3 linked regions of the Oreochromis niloticus genome follow. The protein of the gene in region 3 purifies or fractionates together with the protein of the main gene of each other region. This does not show direct contact. Links are inferred from orthologs where the notes say so. Each region holds a gene or a part of one and is shown on either strand. Other genes may lie near its edges.

Region 1 (6,370 bases), on a different chromosome or scaffold from region 3:
ACTGCACTGGATTTCTGAAGTAGTCCTGCAGTGTCCAGAACTTTCTGTACAAGTTGTAGTCGATTGGAATGGAGCTGCAATAACAATTAAACCAGATAAAGGGCCAATCAAAATGTTTACTTCAACAAATAAACGAAAGAAACAAACCTTGTGATTTATTCTTGAGAAAGCCTTTAACTTACCTCGGTGCAGGGCCATCATCCTCTCCCATTTCTCCTTCCTCCACTTCCATACCATCCTCCTTTTCTTCTGTGTGCTATAAACACAGTAACACATTTAACATTCACAGTTTTTGATTACTTCTAAAGTGCTCAGGGTCAGAATCAGATCTTTACCTTCTGGCCGAGAGTGCTTTCTTGTTCATTTTTGTTGAACACTGTTATATTGTCTAGATTAAACTGGCTCTGGAGATTTAGACCTGGAAAGCAAACAAAATAAAAAGAAGAATCACTCGAACAGAGAAGCTGTGAATGGGGTTGCCAGAGTGCCATGAATGATTGCAAACCTCATCTTCAAAAGGTTTATGTTGGTTTATTTATTTATAATGATAAAATACTGCTGTTCTTACCTGATTTTTCAGACAGAGGGAAGAGACGTGCCAGGAAGAGCTGGATTCGCCCGCAGAAAACTGTGTTCTGAGATTTGGACAGCCTCCTTAAGAGATCTACACAGACAGGAAAATACACTGCTCTGCATTTTAAAGATAAAAAGCTTCATATGTCACAAAATGATGAGATAACCTCTTTACCATTGCACATCCTCAATAAATAATTCTTCCCTGCAGTGTAAAAGGAGTTCTGTAAGAAAAATAGAGCACAGCTTTGGTAAACATGTGATCAACGCAGGACAAATTTGTGGGGGCCTTTACTCAATAGCTGGAATTTATTTACCGATTTCCAGGTGGAGACGTTCTCTTCGACAAAAGAGAAGATTTTGTCACACAGGTCCAAAGGAAGACAGTCCAGCACGTCTCCCAGCAGGACGAAAGGGGTCGTAGCAGAACAGATACCTGCAGTGGACCACAAGTCTTTTAAGTTTCTTCATACATGACACATTGTCTCTAAGACTTACAGAAGATTACCTTAGCAGTCTGCTTGCAAAATGCATGCTTTTAATTAGAGATGGCACGATACCACTTTTTTTTATGTCCGATACCGATATCATAAATTTGGATATCTGCCGATACCGATATGAATCCGATACAGTGTGTTTTTTAATCAATAAAACTGTTTTTTTAATATCTTGCTGCATTTTGTATAAGTTCATCCTCAAGTTTAAATAAACAACAACACTAAAGCTATTCTGTATGTAAAAAATACACTGCGCCCAAAATATTTCATAGTTCAGCAACACTGATCAATCTAATAAACTTAATCCTCCCTATTCTGGTATTTTAAAGAGTACTTAGCAGAAATATTAAGCAACCTAACTAACAGGGTTGCAAACTCCCAGAAAAAAAAAAAAAATAGGGAACCACCCACCCTCCACCTCATGATGCTTAATCGATGTAATCAACTTTAATTTGATGCAAGGTGGAAAAAAATGCACAGAAATAAATTATTTTTCAAGAATAATTAAATAGATTCAACATCTTTCTTCAACAGAACTGCAGACTGCACAGATGGTACCTTCTCAAAGAAAAAAGTACTATAGCTTATTAGGGTATATTAGACTTAACAGTTACTATATACAGTAATGGACTTCTATACATTTTACATCAGATTAAAACTTTGGGTGTAAGATTCAGATAATTATTTATTAAAAGCTAGACGTTTTAAATGAGAATAAGAAAGAAAAGTATGTCTTTGTGCCCCCCTTTTCCCTGTTAATGCCCTATCGGCCCCCCTGGCTAAACTTTGCTAGATCCGCCCCTGCACAGTTACCAGCGGTCAGCTACGTAGAAAAGGATCCTGGTGTAGAAAGTAATATTAAATAAATTCTAACAACAGCTTATCAAGCTTAAACGTGCTGCTGTTGTTCAGCCGCTGGTTTCCTCCTTCTGGTGCAAAGTGGACCAAAAACAAAGAAGAGAGACGGACTCACGACAGAAAAGCCGATCAGCTGATCATTGATCAGTTTCACGATTGAAGTAGCCGCAGGAAGGTGAGGGAGAGAGAGAGAGGCAGTCGCTCCATATATCGGTTGTTAAGCTTAACGCGGGAATGCTTTACAAACATTCAGAGATGAACTTACACACTTGCTTTACTTCTCTGTGGGATAACTTCCTCGGAGATGAAATGTTGGTTTGGTAGCGAGGCTACAAATACACACAGCTGCTCTATCACGTGATGCATACTGCTCCGACGTGCTACGGTTATGAGCCGAGTTACGCCGTGTCGCAAGTTTTGTGAGGTGTTTTTTTTATATTTAATGGATCGGATTACATTTTTTATTTCTCTCCGATATCCGATCCAGTAATTTAGGTCAGTATCGGACCAATACCGATACGTAATATCGGATCGGTCCATCTCTACTTTTAACAAATAGGGGCAAGTGGATCAGAAGCATATCTGTAAACCCCCCCCCACAGCATAACAGACCTGCCAAATTGCCTCAGTAGATGTGCAATAGGGATTTCTCACACATGTATGTCCAAAAAGGATTTTCTTTGGCTATAAAAGTATGGTATCAATTGGGACGCACACATATATCAGCCACATGCTACTATGTGCTCATTTTGAGTGATGTATGCTATGAGAATAATAGGAAATAACTTGGCATTCACAAGGCAGTGGCTGATATTTATATGTTGTGTCACAGATTTTTGCACTGGCTGAATGTTCAAAGAGAACATTTTAGCTCTTTAGTTCATAGAGAACTAAAGAGCTAAAACACTAATCAAAAAGTGTTTTTAGTTTTTATTTATGGTACAGGTTTCTTTCCCGGCACAAAAGGAATAAACTTTTTTTTTTTTTTTTTAAATCTTAAAAATCAGTGTATCACCTGGATCTACTTATGAGACCCCTAGTTGAGTAACATACCTTCTGTAACGCCATCAATGCTCAGGTAAATGAGAGCTAGGTAGTCATCACACCTCAACTTTTGCTCAACCTGGAAACATTTGAATATATCGTTTGAGGATTTTGAGGGTAATTTAATAAAAAAAAATTGAACAAACGCGTACTAGAAACAAACAAACAAAAAGCATTTCTTACAATCAGATCACCAAGAACTCCCCTCAGAGCCTGATCGAGGGTTGTCTTCTTTTCCGCCTCACTGTAATGTGAGAAAAACAAGCGATCAGTAAAGTTGCATCCCTTCCTCCATTATTATAGAGTATAATAGCCAACAGAAATAATTACAATACATTAGTTAGCAAGAACTAACAACTTCACTTACTTGCCGGGGATCTGGTTAAAAAATACTGATCAAAGGTTTGATGCTTTTTTCCAGTCAAAGCCTGGACGGCAGACGCCTGAGATTGTGTGAAGAAGAAGAAGAAGGAGAATTAGAAAACATTTATGAAACAAACGGCATCGTTGGTTAGCGTCTGTGTTAGCTTAGCTTCATCTGTTATGGTAACAACACGCGACATGCTACACTAACAAACCCAGGCTAGGATTTTAACTGTGATATAAAATATATAACTGCACATATTTTTATACGTTGCTGAAGTTCTGTGTTTTCTTACCGTAAATTTGTCTTTAGCGTCGACAAAATTAAATGAAGACGGCGACATCGTCTCTTTTTGGCAACCGGAAGTGCCGATAAAGTTGTTCCGGCTTCTTTGAGTGTGGGGAAAAGGGTCGAGAGCGGTGCAGGATTGCATTTAAAATTAATTACAGTCAAGGTGCAATGTGAAAGTTTATGTCTCCAGCGCACTTTCCACCATTAAAAAAAAAAAACAAAAACTTGTATCATGCAAATTATTATGGTAATGGTGTAATTGTTAAACATTTTCCTCACAGTACATCATATTTGCCTAATTGTTAAACTAACACTTTTTAGTGTGCAGGAGAGTCATAATAACAAGGACTTAAGGAATAATGGAGGTCCAGGAGCCTTTGGAGAACATAACCAGATGAGGATAACATTGGCTGTTCACATGGATCTCACACATACACTGAGTATGTAAGAAGTTCTCCTTTGGCCTTTCCCTTTTCTCCTTTCAAACTTTTATTTGTTTGTCTCCTCTGATTTGAACTTTTATCTACATTTTTGATTATTATTATTATTATTATTATTTTTACATTTATATGAACTTTTCTTTCTCTTTCAAGGAACGTGTACTATGGAGAAAACTGAAGACATATAAGGTGGTTTACCCTCCACATCCTTGGAAGCAAGGGGTAGCAATATCTATCAGTACTGGTCACCATAAAAGGCCCAGTAACCATGAAAGACTAGCTACTGAAATTCATGCATATATGCTAAAGTGGACATGAAGATGTGATAGGGAGATACATGACTTTCTTACATGTCATATCAAAACCAAAACGTATGAAAGAAATATTTTAATATATTGTGCTGGATGCCTTTTCTTTTTATGGAGGATTCCAGATGAAATAGAAAATTTTACTTCTAGTGTACACTTTATTTCTTCATAACTGTGGTCTGAACAAAAGGATGGAAAGGTAGATTCCTACTAAAAGTGGCACAATGCAGAAACATCTCTGTGTCCTTCTGTGTGGTATTAGGCAGCTGATGGATTGTTGGGAGATATGGGCACCCCTTCTGCTTTAGATAGCCATGAAAAAAGGTGTGGCGCTGATGACAATGTGTCATCTTTTTGGCTTGAACTGAAGGGTTTTGCAAAGGCACTGGAAACCCTAATGAAAACACGAGCCTGGCTGTACCACCGTTGGGTGCAAGTATGGTGCAAACAAAACCTCTAACCGTACCCACTGTCACTGAGCAACATTCAGTTATTCTCTCCACTTTCAAACTGTGTATACAGAGATGAACAATAATAGCCTAGATTTATATAGTGCCTTTCAAGAAACCCAAAGCCAAAAGAGTCTAAGTAAGTCTACATTAGTCTTAGTTTAGGAAACAAGGGGTATGGTGAATTTTACTTTTCCACTGCACAACATTATTTGAAAACTTTATCTGATCAGTGCATATGTTGTGGAGATTTGTAGAAACCACTTTTTGTGATTCCTCAGAATCTGAAATAGAAAGACATTTTTTGGTGTATGTATTCAGTCTTTGTAACCTGTAACTCCTGGGAGTCACAGGTCCAGATTCTCTGTGAAAAGTTAAAAACTGGGACAGGCGATTCTCACAGACGAAAGCTTGGATTCAAAAAGTGTAAAAATGAGTGTAAGAATTTCCTTCAGTTTCCAAAAACTGCAGCAATGGCTCACTTCTGTCAGCAAGACATTGTCTAGCTGGTGACATTAATGGTTATCTTAGAAAAACAGCACAAATCTGAGGAAAAAATCTCTTGTGAGCTTCAATTTAAGCTTTAATTTAGTCCCAAATCTTACTTTAAGAAAGCAGTTTATATCACTGTGGACTAGGCTAAGTCTAGGACTTTCTCATACCAGTAATGAGAAAGCTAATTTATGCTAAATTGGTTTAAAAAGATGTTTTAGCTTAATTCATGTCTGGGAAACCACCTCTTAATGATTTAACAGCATGATTGCACTCAGTGTGGCCATGTGGATAAATCCAAGTTAGACCAGAAGGCGGCAGTGTTTCATACCATTTAGTTCCACGTTGCAGTTAAAAGCAGGGGGTGTCAAACTCTGTTTAGTTAATGGACCACATATAAGCAGTTTGATCTCAAATGGGCCAGAGCAGTAAAACAATTGCATAATAACACACCTTTAATTCAAGTAAGCAAAAGTTCCGATTTAATAGACCATCTATTTAGAAAACATGTTGAAGCGGTTGAGATAAAAATAAAACAAGTGCAGGTTCAACAGTATGTCTTATTGCATGTGCATTACAGATCACAGTGGATCTAGAAATGCATAAAACCATCAGATGAAGAGATTTGAGGTCTAAAGTACTATACTATTTTTCTCCGTATGACTCAAATAAATTTGTCAAGAATGACAAATCTTTATGCTTTTATATGTCCATGAAAATAATAAAAACTTTAATGAAGTTTTTAAACTTTGTGAATCCATTTAAATTTCTAAATTGGACCCTCTAAAAGCTCCGTGTCCATTTGCATACATGTGGAAGGTGCATGTGTGTATGTTTGTGCTCTCAGCCTATATGTTTGACATTCACTCTCTCCTGGTCAAAGTCCCTTTAGTTTTTTTCTTCCTAATTTCTATACCTGAAGTATAGAGGTGGTACTGAAATTAAAATTCTATTGTAGACGTCCTGCGTAGTTAGAGTTCAGGTCAGGGACAGGCCAGTGTGTTCAGGTTTGGCATTCAGTGTTAATGAGTAGACCTAACGGAGGTCACTGCAG
Region 2 (6,370 bases), on a different chromosome or scaffold from region 3:
GTAAAGATGAAAAAACTGAAATAAAATAAAATAAATAACAATGTTTCAGAATCTGAGGGAAACTACTGGTGGATTTGGATGATTCTGGTGCATTTCCATGTATTCCTTATTCAGTCCAAGTAAAACAGGACAAGTCTTACCAGCAGCTTGGTAAACAGCATGTTGAGGTTGGCCTCCAGCTTTTCCATATCTCCACAGAACGGACTCATCTCAGCCAGCAGCTTTAGCACCTACACAGAGACAGAGAGAGAGAGAGAGATTAGCAGATCTCAGTAATATGTAATATGCATTGCTAATGAGAAGCACTGTTACATGGTGCAGACTAACGACCCATTAGCAACATGCATTTGGCTAACACCCCTAACAGGTGGCTGTCATGCTGCCTTTGTTTACTACTACAACCACTCACCAAATGTCAAATGTTATGAATCTTGACCTCACACCAGTCACCATATTTGTCATGCCAGTCTACTTGCTTTGTGTGCACCGCTACTGGCAAAGCACCAGCAGAATGTTTTGGGTAGAATTACAGGTTTTCCACCAGAAAAGTCTGAGAGGGTGTGATCTGAATGTGGCTGAGGAAGTTTATGTTGTACTCAACATAGTGCCATCAATTTGCATATTAGGTGCTCTCATCTTTAGAGATCTCAGAGAGGGACACTAAGCAGGTTGATTTCCTCTTACAAGTTAATACTGACAATAAACAACCGTATACAACTACATAAGAGTGAGCGTGACACACTAACCAGCATTACATTTTAAACTCACTTCAGGATCACTCATTTACAGTTTAAAAAGGTACTCACTTCCAACTGAATGTCCAACTCAGCCACAGGACTTGTCAGGGTGCTGAGGTTTGGCAGGACGTGTTCACAGAAGTAGGTTACAAAACGTGTGGAATGGACATTTTTCTACAAGAGACAAAAGAGAGACAGGAAAAAAAAACAAAAACAAAAAAATGACTAATTATATAAAGTAACATAACTCAAAGTAAAAGTTTTAACTGAATAGACCGATAAAACAAAAGCTTCTTATAATGAAATGATCTGATTTTAAACACCTCTGCTTTAAAGTGCATAAGTTACTTACAGAGAACAGCGGTAGGGCCTGGCGTGTGCACTGCAGCAGGCGGTCCACAGTGTCGGGGTCAGCTGGGTTGAGGGCCTGCTCCAGGAAAGCTTGCTCCACCACCAGCTCCACCAGCTGCTGCCTCCCATTTACAGTCTGCAGTACCCGTAGACCCGACACTACACGCATCAACAGCACAAACTCCTCTCCTGTCACATCCTCCATCACCTGCAAAGAAGACAAACAACTGCTCAGAATGTGTTCTTATCTTGGATGTGTTATGCAAAAATGTTCATTTGTGACTTTTTGCAACTTGTCGGTTTTTGTTCCTGCAGCCAACCAAAACTTGGTCAACAAAGATTTTTTTTGCAATGCTAAATGTATGGTCCAATACCTCCTGGACAGCTTTAGTGTCAACATTAAAAAAATTTCAGATTTCCCCCAACAAAGGACCACTAAGGATAGCTCAGTTTCAATGAAAGTAGCCCATAGGCAAGTGAGAGAAACTCACCTCTGCTTTTTAAGGTCATACCCTAAACAACTGCACTTAAATGGATTAAACAAGAGTTGAGTGATTCACATCACAGGTTCACTAGTCAATGTCATTAATTAACAAAACAAAGGCAAAACTATCAGCCACACCCAAAACAATCAGTACTCTATACACACCCCTAGTCCGGACAGCCATGTGTCTTCTCATGTAAATTACCCGTGTTACATTCAGGCACAGAGAAACTTACACCTGAACGATCACTCGTTAATCTACAAACCTTCTTTGTTTCGGCAAAGACGTACTCCTCCACCTCCTTTGTCATGACATCCTCTGGCAGGGTCTTCAGTTTAGTTGATAGAAACTTGATGGCCCTTTCTCTCACTATATCCTCTCCCTGCAGGATCTGAGAGAAGAGTCCCCCAAGGGTTCCTGAATGACAAAAAGAAAAAACAATTTAAAAATATTGTGATATATATGGAGTGTCCTCTCTGAATAAACAGGTAACACATGTGTCACAGCATGATATCATGCACAAATATAGTGTGAATATATAAATATATTCTCAGGTAAATGTTTGCACTCCAATATCCCAGGCTTATAAGCTATATGAGATGGATAATCGACCTGATCCTGAGTGTAATTGAGCCCATTGTGCTGGCTCTCAAGATGTAATTGAATGTGATTTGAGTGAGACTGACTGATCAAGCAGGGTTGCAAAGATTTGTACAGAATAAGAATTTTATACAAAAGGCTTTATCCCCATTGCAGCTCTTGATGTTGACCTGCTACTTTGTGTCAGGCTTGTTTCTGTGTTTATGTTGTAAAAATTTAAAGGGTCATTCTATTAAAAACTTTTGCTCAAGTGACATAATATCCAAAATTCATTTTACTTCTTTGGAACCATGGCTGTGATAGGTTAACATTATTTTATTCACACTAAACAAACAAAATAAACAACAACAAAAAAAGTCAGTTTTAATAATTAAAACAGGCCTAGCTACATTTCAGTTTTGCCCCAGGGGAAAAAGAAACTTACCCCTGGCATCCATCTTGAAGATAGAAATAAGTGCTGCATTCACTTGGTTAAACTCTGCCGTATCATCTGGAAGCACAAAAACGTCAACAAACATTAGCAGAGATCAACAATACTGTTGGGGTATGAGTAGCTTTTGTGAAAAATTGTTACCTGTCTGAAGAAGCTGGGTGAGAATATCTGCAACTCTGGGGATGTTGTCACCAGTTGCAAAGCGCGGGAGCTCTTTGATGGCCTGTCGTCGGATCTGGTCAATGAAAAGTACACAGAAAGAGAAATAAAAATTAATACTGTGAACACATTCAATCCCTGAAAGACGTCCAATATCAATCTGGAAACAGACAAATCAAAATTTGCAGCTACTGTTGACGGTATTTAGGTTCATGGCTACATGTGTTAGTTAATACTCACCGAAACATCCTCATCTTCACAGAGATCTAGTTGGGCATTAATAGCTGCATCTGCAAGTTCAGGAAAGCTGCTGAAGAACTTGGGAATAAACTGTGCTGCCAGACGCTTCTCCTTGGGGCCACCCTTCACACCATCCACGATTACCTGGTAGGCATCCTTGTGCTGCAAAATGATGGTACATTACAGTCTACATTACACAATGAGTCTTTAATAACGCTTTCATTTAGCTGAGATTTATCATTGTTTCTGTAGATCACAACAAATGAACACGTATAGTATAACATCCTAAATGAGATAGATCGCGGTGAAATCTGAATCAAACTATAGCCACTTCCCATTTGTGGCCTAAAGTATTTTGCGAGTGGAAAAGTTTAAACTTCAACTTAAAAATAATGAATGTAGTAGTAAACTTGGTTTGGCTTATGGATCGCCACGGCGAAGCTATTAACATTAGCCCGGTCATTACTATAACTAGCTACAGTTAGCTTAGCACACACAAACAAATGTTATGTAAACCAGAAAAGTTAGCAACGTTGAAAGTAAAACAATACACTGCTGCAAGGTAACAGAACTATGTTCAGTTTAAAACATACTAGGCGACGTTTATTTACCTGACTGAGGTTGTCCTTGGCATCAGCAAGGATCCCGTAGCTACGATAGAGATCCTCAATTGTGACCGCCATCAGCGTGATTTCAAGTGACTGCTGCTCACAGATAAGACCTCTGAAAAATCCACAAAGTAAAACCCGTCGCAGGTTGCTTTTGCTCCGCGTCGGACGACTGCGAAACAAACAACGCCGTAATGTGGAGAGTTATCTTGTCAGGAAACAGGACGGAAAGATGAAATTTCGAGAATTCCGTGAATGAATACCCCCTACTGCCTGTCTTCTTCGCGCTACTCTCTGGCGTGCTGGCTAAAAAAGCTACGGAATACCGAGTACAGCGCATGCGCGGGTTTGGCCAATCGCATAGCGCCAGCAGGCACGTGACATGAGTGTGCGCCAAATCGATGCGCACAAACTACTCATGTTAAGAAGAGGTGTGGTCTGTGGACCTAAACCTAGCATAAACAGGTAATACCTTAACTAATAAGTACGGGTAACGTAATACTATTTTTTTTGGGTGTAATGCCCCTTATATATAAATATTTTTTTGTTTTACACTGCTTGTATAGGCATATACTTACACATTTATGTTTCTTTTAAAAAAAAAATATTTCTAATCAGCCACACAAAAGTTCTAGTTGCACAAAAGGAAGGAGGCAGTGGTTTAAGGCTGAATGCCCATCAGTTTGTAGCATGTATTTGTATATGACCACATGGCAAAGTTACAGGTCTTAATTTAGTCTTTGGAAATAAAGACCCAGGTTCATAGAGCTTTCTTTGTCCATCCGTAACCAGTTTTGTGGCATACTCAGGGTCAGCTCTCACTAATGTAATGATAAGAAAAAAAGGAAAAAAAAAACAGAGATCACAACAGAAAGTCAGTGCAAATAGTTTTATTGAACTAAACTGGTTGCAACAATTCTGTACAAGCAATTATCTGGCAGGAAAGAAATGCAGTTTCATAAGAATCTGATTCCCGCTCCAAACTGGACCCCGTCACATATCCTGCAAAGACAATAAAGAATCATTGAAATGTAGTTGAAAGACACTTATTATCTTATTTCTGTTGCACATCATTACAACTGCAATGTCATACAGAATTTTTTTAAGTAATCCATTTCTTAATTTTCCTATAGCAATGTTCTGACACTGTTTCATACTTGCCAAACTTAGAGTGATAAGTTCTTTAGTGTCACATTTAAACAGATCTGTAATGTACAGTAAATTAATTAGTGACGTTAAAGAAACCACCACTATACTTAATTTGATTGTTGTCAGTTAGACTGTGTTGCTCTTTTCAGACTAAAATTCATCATTCATCATCTATTTACAGCAATTCTATTGGCCTAATATGTCTTTAAAGAAACCGTAAAGTCCCAATCAGCTTATCTTAGACTAGCTGATGTAATTAGCATTACCTGTCTCCACTCTGGACTCCCATGGGAATGCAGTAATTCAGCTCAAGCCTGGCAATGTTCCCCAAGCGCAGCACAATGCCCAGTCCATATGACCAACGTATACATTCAGCCAGTTTCTTCAAATGTGCTTGTGGACCCTCACCTGAGCAAAAATGTACATATGAACTCAACCATATAGGCAAATGCATGTATTCATAATCTGAGTAATACTTGTCCTAACAACATAAAATCCCAATCTGCTCTTGATAGAAATAAGTTTAAGAGAGAGATAAGATAAGATAAGATATATAATAGAATAAGATACTATATACAACAGAATAAAAAACACTATGTTGTCAGAAAACAAAATTACACTTAGTGTTATTGCACATTAACCAAGTTCAAAGTGAGCCAAACTGAATTAAAAAGTTCAGTCACAAATCTCAAGGTCTGACCAAGATCTAGCATGATTAAATAACAGGTGCTCAACTGTTTTAAAAGCTCACCATAGTTGAGGTTACAAAGGTTCCCAGCATTGAGGAAGAAGTGGGTTCGGAAGAGGTCACCAAAGCCTCCCATGCCTGGTCTGAAGGGTAGAGGGGTGTAGAGGTGGAGGCCTCCAGCCCAGTAGGCTTCTCCCCCCAGGTAGTCGCCTGCCATACCAGTAAAGCCAGCACATAACCTTTCAATTAATCATCAAACTTCATTCTGTTACCAAGCAGCTTATCTGAGGTAATGCCTCACCTTCACTCTGTGGGCCCATACTGGTGGGGCCGCCAAGATAGAACCTAGAATATCAAAAAAGTACAAAACACACAAAAAATTTATATTAAACTGAACTTTATATGTCTTTCCCTATAGCAATCGGAAAAGGCTCCAGCCCACCCGCAACCCTGAATTGGATAAGTGGAAGAAAAGGATTGATGGATGGTTTTAGGAATAAGACCAGATAGTTTCAAATTTTGAGCCACACCAGAGTCAGACAGTCATTAAGGGAGTCAGATAAATCTGCTTTGAATTAGAAAAAAATATGCTATTTGTAACTCCAGAAGCTGCCCAAGTTTCCCATTTTAAAAGTGATCTTTTAAAGATTTAAATGCTAACCCCTATAGCTGTTTATGTAGACAAATATGGACAGCAACATCACTTTCAACAGTCTAATTTACAAAGCTCTAGGACAATCAAACCTCTGGTTAATAATGCCAGTGTGCTGTGAGTTTTTACCTGTCTGCTATACTTGTTGGCTTATCACCAATGGGTAGAAGCAAACCACCCCACAATGAGGCAGAAAGGACCTGAGGGAAAAATTCAGTGTTTAGTCAAGTTGAATCAGCAAAAAGAGGCCAGCTGTTAACAGGCTATT
Region 3 (6,370 bases):
AAGGTAAAGAGTGAAAAAGTGACTAAGGTAAGATTCTGACTGAATACTGCAGTTTTACTGCTGACTTGGTGAAAACTGGGAAGACAAAAACAAAGAAAAGTCACCTAGCTGCTCCAGCATTTTGTCACACTCATCCAGGACAAAATGCTTGACATTCTTCAGACTGAGCGTCTTGTTCCGGATCAGGGCGAGGATACGGCCGGGAGTTCCGACAACGATGTGAGGGCAGTTCTTCTTCAGGACGTCCTCGTCTTTCTTGATAGGCAGGCCACCAAAGAATACTGCTGCTTTTATGGTGGGCATGTACTTGGAGAAACGCTCGTACTCTTTGCTGATCTGGAAGGCCAGCTCTCGTGTGTGACACATGACTAATACAGACACCTGGAGACAAGGAAACGCAGATTAAATCCAAAAATCTATCAAAAAGTCAAAGGTAGGCAGAATAATTTGTTTAAAATTAACAGTTTTACATTACAAACGACAAGATGCATTTAATGTTCATGTTACATTTTTAGTATTTTATGATCATTGAAGCATCTGTCCTTGGAAGAAAATTACATCCCACACTGCCACTGTGGAAGTCCACTGTAGCTACAACCCCTTAGACTTGAAGTTCTACAACTCTATAAGCCAGAACTCAGCCATCTATCAACTCTTTGGTGTAGAATTTCTACATAACAACAAGCACAACATGAAAATATCGCTTATAATCGAATAAACTGATGATATGTTACATAACTAACTTCAGTGCATCTATCCTCTCAAATCCCCGAATTCCACCAGGATCGGCTGCGCTGCGTTCCAGCACCGACATGAACACCGAAGCTAATCGACCCGTATGCCTGAATTATGCTTTAACAGAAAATTTACATATTAACTGGAAACCCCTCTTAACCCTACACGTAACGCAGACAACCCAACATGTAGTAACATTTCTCTTATGAGGTTATGTGGAAGGTTTTGGTGCAGCGTTGCTTCTTACGCCGTAGATTTCCCGCTAAAGCATAATTCAGGCATCACACTTCAGATGATGTTGCACTACCACGTGGCAGAAGTGTCGCAGAAGCAACTCTCTGCTCTGCAGCACTAAAAATACAAGCTGAATCTATTTTTAATAAAAGCAGGGTCGAGGTGCACTGTGCAGATGAGATGGGCGGGAAGTGTGACACTGAAAGTGAATACGTAATCTACTTAAATCTGAAATGAAAAACCCAGTGAACACCAAGCACTCTAGGCCTGTCAAATTTAATAACACAACTGAATAAAAAGTAACAAAATTTAAACAAACAAAAAAACAAAACTAAATTTTATTCACTTCCCATAACTGAATGCGACTCCCTGCTTCCTTAAGTGGCACAGAATGCAAAGCTGGATTTCCAACGATTTACCCGTCGCTGCTGATACTAAAACATATTCCAGTAGTTTTGAAAGTTATTATGAATCAATTTGTGACAGCACTACACAGAATGCTTTTTACAATAGTGCGTTCCTTGTTTTGCACTTACAATATGGTACACAGTTTAAACATTTTATTGTTGTCCTCAAAACTGCATCTCCCAACAAAGAAATCTGCTGGTTATAAGTCACCTATGAAATCTGTTGTTTGCATTTTAATAAGGAACATCATGATCCCAGAAATTCATTAGTTTGTACCAATACCAGTAGAATCACACAGCTGGATAGCGAAACAAAATGACTGGCTGATGCCAGGTACTTAAACTGTTACTAAAACGTTTTAGAATTCTGATCATGTATTTAAATGTTGACATTATTTTACTGACAAGACGCAGACTGAAATGGTAGGATGGCTGCCGAGTAGCCCATTAGTCTTACTAGCAGTGACTGTAACTCGTGTTACAGTTATATTAAGTGAGCACAAACATTTCAAGGTTATTTTACAATGGAGAGTCTCAAACAAAAAAAGCAGTAATCTGTGATTCTGGATAAGTAGGACAAAACTTTGGATGTTGTCATTGTTAACTTAAACTTCCTCAACTTGAACTTTATGAATAGCTCTGGATACCTGTCTTTCAGGTGCCTTGCTAAATTGGAAATCCAAACATTGTTTGCATATCGCCTCTTGCTAATCAATTATCTCAGATTTTGCAGCCACCTGAATGCAAAGCAGGTTCACAGCAGACTCTGCCTTTCTTACAAAAGAGACGGAGCAGAGGTTTGTGGCAGTTAGGCACAAGTTTCCATCTTTCACCTGTTCTTTAAGCTGTAGCTTTCAATTTTTCTGGTTCTTATAAGGACAATAGAATACCTGTAACCACATCCTGCCTCCTTCAGTTTTGGAAGAATTTCTGCCTCCTTGCATAAGCTGACTGTGGTAGCAAAGAAAGACGAGCACTACTACATCTCAAAAATCCTGGTATCAAAATGGTACCATGGGTATTGATTCTGTTGGCATTCCCTAGCTTTGACTAAGACTGATTTTGATCAATCTTGTTTGTGCTGTCTCACAGCTGGCTCTGACTTCAGCTAAGTTAAAAAACAAAACAACAAAAACATTTGGACCTCTATCAGCCTTTATTGGCTTGTTCATTAATTACCAGACTAATAACATTCATAGCCAATAAATGAAAAGCTCAACATTGAAGGCACTTCTTTGTTTCTTTTATTGAACCCAACCCATGTAAACAATTAATTTACTACACAGTCAAAGCATGTTAAACACACATACTAACCTGTCCGTCAACGGGTTCGATCTGTTGCAGGGTCGCCAACACAAACACAGCCGTCTTGCCCATACCAGATTTGGCTTGGCACAGAATGTCCATGCCCAGGATAGCTTGTGGGATGCATTCATGCTGCACTGTGTTTTTAAACGACACAACACAAATATTAATGTTAAGTACAGTCTTATTATTACCTGCAAATCAATTACTTTGAGTTGCTATAAAGAGCACAAGAGGAGTGGCAGTCCTGCTGGGAGTGGTGCATTTTTTTTAGACACACAAAGCAAGTCAAGCTACTCAAAAACTCTTAATGTAGGTAAGCAAGATAAGGTGAGCACTGTTTAAAAATATGCAGACTTACAACTTCTGACTGGTGCTACCAGTGTAGTGTAAGAGTATGCCATAAACAAACTCCATTGCCAGTTCCCCGCTAGTCCCATTTAACAAAAGGTACCAGAACAGTTGAATGCGTCTCACCTTCAGATGGATGCTCAAAACCACAGTCAATGATGGCCCGGAGAAGCTCCGGCTTCAGAAGAAAATCCCTGAAGCCAGAGCTGTGGATGGAAACATAGGAACCTTTCACCTCCTTCTTGCCTGCTGGGGTTGCACTCTCGGGGGCTCCTTGAGGCTCCTCATCCTCTTCATAATCAAGGAGCTCGTTGTCAACGTCATTCTCAGCCATTGTATTTGTCTGGAACAAAGAAAATACAGCTGAGTATTAATGATCACTATCTTTCATCTGTGTCTGTAAGAGAAGGCGCGCTTTGCTTAGATTATATGAAGCGAGGTTCTTATTCGAGCCCACTTGTTGGACATATTTTAATACATTTAAAAAGTCGTTTTTTATTCTATCATTACAAGGCGTTTTTGACTTTGTGCAACTATGAAAATCGTGGTTGGTGATAAACGTGACTCCAAACATTAGCTTTATTGTGTATAACTCGAACTCCATTTTAAAGAGTAAGCCTGTGATTAAGAAATGCTAAGCAATTAAGAAAACGCAACAAAGCGGGCCTAAATATGAATACGCTGTAGTGTTTTGTAAACAGAAACTATTCTCTACGACCACGTACACTCAATATAACAAACAAGGTCAAAACCGTAACCGACGATGTCAAATAGACCAAACCGGTTAGCTTCTAAGCGCATACAACACTAGAAAGCCATTGTGTTGCATAACCATTGCTAACGTGGCAAGCTAATCCTCTACACGACAACAACTGATCCGCTACGACCAACTAAATATTCCCAACAGCATAGGCAGGCGATCTTTTCGTAACTGTAACGGGAGTGTTATATGAACGACAAAAAGGCGGCATATTTCGTGTAAATACGGAAATCTAAGTGGCGATTGCTTTGCTAGGCTATCAAATGCTAGGCTACAAAACGCTAAGTAACACCGCCCCCTGAAACAAACAACGAAAGGTTATTTTTAGCGATAGCAAACACTACTTCAGCCCAAATTAAATAAATATAATTTACAAGCTTCTGTGGGTGAAACGAGACGCGGAAAGCCGCCCAAGCGGGACAATGAAGTAGTTCAAGAATTCCTACCGTTTCAGTGTTAGCTTCGACTGCCCCGATAGATCACAACCGCATGGAGAGGCCTCAGTTGGTTTATACCACCAACCGGAAGTTCCGCCTCGGCTAAAGCGGGTCGATATCATTGGCCCGTTTAGGCGACCTCTGTGAAAAGCAGCCTGTGATTGGACAGAAAGTGTGCCGCAGTCCGTCGCAGTTGAAAAAAGCGGGACACGGTTGTAGCTGCTCTCCGTAGGGGAGCTCGGGAGGGACATGGGAAATAAATCAATACAGTCACGTTTTGCTGCAATATAAGTATAAAATTAACCGTGATGTGTTTGCGTATGATAATGCAGGCCTGTGACCTTAAATATAAAACAGCTTCCTGGAATTGATTCAGATTGGTTCAATTTTGTTTGTTTTTGTTTCACAGAAATCGTTAAAATTGTATGAAATGTAGAAATTTAAGTCGCGCGAGGCAAAACTCCTCTCCAGGATGTGATATTAACAGTGTGAAGAAATTCGGACTCCATCAATAAAAGTATATGTAACTGTGATTTCTACGTTTCCTTGCACAAGTCTAAATCAAGCTTTAATTCTGGAAACATTAAACACTGAGAATTAAAAGGCTTTAGTGCCCTCTAGTGGTCACAATGGACACAGTGTGGTCCAGCATTAACGTCGTTGAAGCATCATTAACGCTTATAACCTTTTATTAAAATCATAATTACGAATAACAAACGGGGAGCCAAGGACTAATAATAACTGTATTAATAACGAGAAGTAGCAGCATTTCCAACTAGACATGGATACACTGGCATCAGGTCTCAGCTTTCATAATGCTTAATAAATACTTTTGTACAGGAAGCAATCAGGAAGTATCTGCAGATCTGCAGAAATCTTTACAAAATAATAAATTTTATTGCTCTGTCGTCTATAAAATCACACATTCTTTAACAGGAAAACTACAGATTCTTTAACAGGAAAACTACAGATACAGAATGACAAGTAGTGTTCTTTAAAGCGGTGCTGAGCAGGATCAATGTCCACAAGGCTGCAGGTCCTGATGGCATCCCCGGGCGTGTTCTCAGAGCGTGTTCTGGGGAGCTTGCAGGAGTCCTGACAGACATATTCAACCTGTCCTTTGCCCACGCTGTGGTACCGGCCTGCTTCAAATCCACCTCCATCGTCCAGATACCCAAAAACTCCAACCCATCTAGCCTCAATGACTACCGCCCAGTAGCACTCACCCCCATCATCACTAAGTGCTTAGAGCAGCTGGTCCTAGCACACTTCAAATCCTGTCTCCCCCCCCACCCTGGACCCCCACCAATTCGCATACCGCCAGAACAGGAGCACAGAGGATGCAGTCTCCATCACACTGCACTCTGTCCTCTCACACCTGGACAACAACAACACCTACGCCAGAATGCTGTTTATAGACTTCAGTTCAGCATTCAATACAATCCACCCCTCACAACTCATCAGGAAACTGACAGACCTGGGCATCAGTTCCCTCATCTGCAAATGGTTACTGGACTTCCTGACCAACCGCCCCCAACATGTCCGGCTGGACAACCGCTGCTCATCAACAATCACAATGAACACCGGTGTACCACAAGGCTGTGTGATGAGCCCTTTCCTCTACTCCCTCTTCACCCATGACTGCAGACCTGCTGATGGTTCCAACACCATCATTAAGTTTGCAGATGACACCACGGTGATTGGCCTCATCAGTGACAACGATGAGACCGCCTACAGGGAGGAGGTGGATCGTCTGGCTGAGTGGTGCAACAGAAACAACCTGCTGCTTAACACTGAGAAGACCAAGGAGCTCATCGTGGACTACAGGAGGAATGCTGACCCACATCCACCCATCCACATTAAGGGGACGGCTGTGGAGAGTGTGAGCAGCTTCAAGTTCCTGGGTGTCCACATCTCCGAGGATCTCATCTGGACGACCAACTGCTCCAAGCTGGTCAAGAAGGCTCACCAGCGCCTCTTCTTCTTGAGGCCTCTGAGGAAGAACCACCTGTCCTCAGACATCCTGGTGAACTTCTATTGCTGCACCATCGAGTGCATCCTGACCAACTGTATAACAGTCTGGTACGGGAACTGCTCTGCCTCGGACTGGAAGGTGTTGCAGAGGGTCGTGAAAACTGCCC

Evidence for each region.
Region 1: the proteins of ddx39ab (region 3) and thoc1 purify together in Homo sapiens (affinity purification with mass spectrometry; 3 studies listed by BioGRID and IntAct, with this or other methods). This does not show direct contact. The link is inferred for Oreochromis niloticus from reciprocal best matches to the Homo sapiens genes DDX39A and THOC1.
Region 2: the proteins of ddx39ab (region 3) and api5 fractionate together in Homo sapiens (co-fractionation; 3 studies listed by BioGRID, with this or other methods). This does not show direct contact. The link is inferred for Oreochromis niloticus from reciprocal best matches to the Homo sapiens genes DDX39A and API5.

Annotation. Positions count from the first base shown.
Region 1 is NC_031982.2:19,576,058-19,582,427, reverse strand, and holds the start of thoc1 (THO complex subunit 1), read right to left. Parts: upstream 3,720-6,370; 5' UTR 3,680-3,719; coding exon 3,632-3,679; intron 3,542-3,631; coding exon 3,469-3,541; intron 3,365-3,468; coding exon 3,340-3,364; intron 3,217-3,339; coding exon 3,156-3,216; intron 3,052-3,155; coding exon 2,982-3,051; intron 1,010-2,981; coding exon 891-1,009; intron 798-890; coding exon 749-797; intron 665-748; coding exon 569-664; intron 419-568; coding exon 336-418; intron 257-335; coding exon 183-256; intron 75-182; coding exon 1-74. UniProt on the Homo sapiens protein: Component of the THO subcomplex of the TREX complex which is thought to couple mRNA transcription, processing and nuclear export, and which specifically associates with spliced mRNA and not with unspliced pre-mRNA.
Region 2 is NC_031972.2:43,409,532-43,415,901, reverse strand, and holds the start of api5 (apoptosis inhibitor 5), read right to left. Parts: upstream 3,946-6,370; 5' UTR 3,689-3,945; coding exon 3,617-3,688; intron 3,168-3,616; coding exon 3,006-3,167; intron 2,842-3,005; coding exon 2,748-2,841; intron 2,664-2,747; coding exon 2,598-2,663; intron 1,991-2,597; coding exon 1,839-1,990; intron 1,297-1,838; coding exon 1,090-1,296; intron 912-1,089; coding exon 807-911; intron 231-806; coding exon 141-230; intron 1-140. Other genes in the region: samm50 (sorting and assembly machinery component 50 homolog A), read right to left, coding at 4,570-4,615, 5,029-5,170, 5,514-5,660, 5,752-5,795, 6,232-6,302. UniProt on the Homo sapiens protein: Antiapoptotic factor that may have a role in protein assembly. Negatively regulates ACIN1. By binding to ACIN1, it suppresses ACIN1 cleavage from CASP3 and ACIN1-mediated DNA fragmentation. Also known to efficiently suppress E2F1-induced apoptosis.
Region 3 is NC_031969.2:8,105,025-8,111,394, reverse strand, and holds the start of ddx39ab (DEAD (Asp-Glu-Ala-Asp) box polypeptide 39Ab), read right to left. Parts: upstream 4,395-6,370; 5' UTR 4,239-4,394; intron 3,376-4,238; 5' UTR 3,367-3,375; coding exon 3,159-3,366; intron 2,819-3,158; coding exon 2,691-2,818; intron 382-2,690; coding exon 105-381; intron 1-104. UniProt on the Homo sapiens protein: Helicase that plays an essential role in mRNA export and is involved in multiple steps in RNA metabolism including alternative splicing. Regulates nuclear mRNA export to the cytoplasm through association with ECD.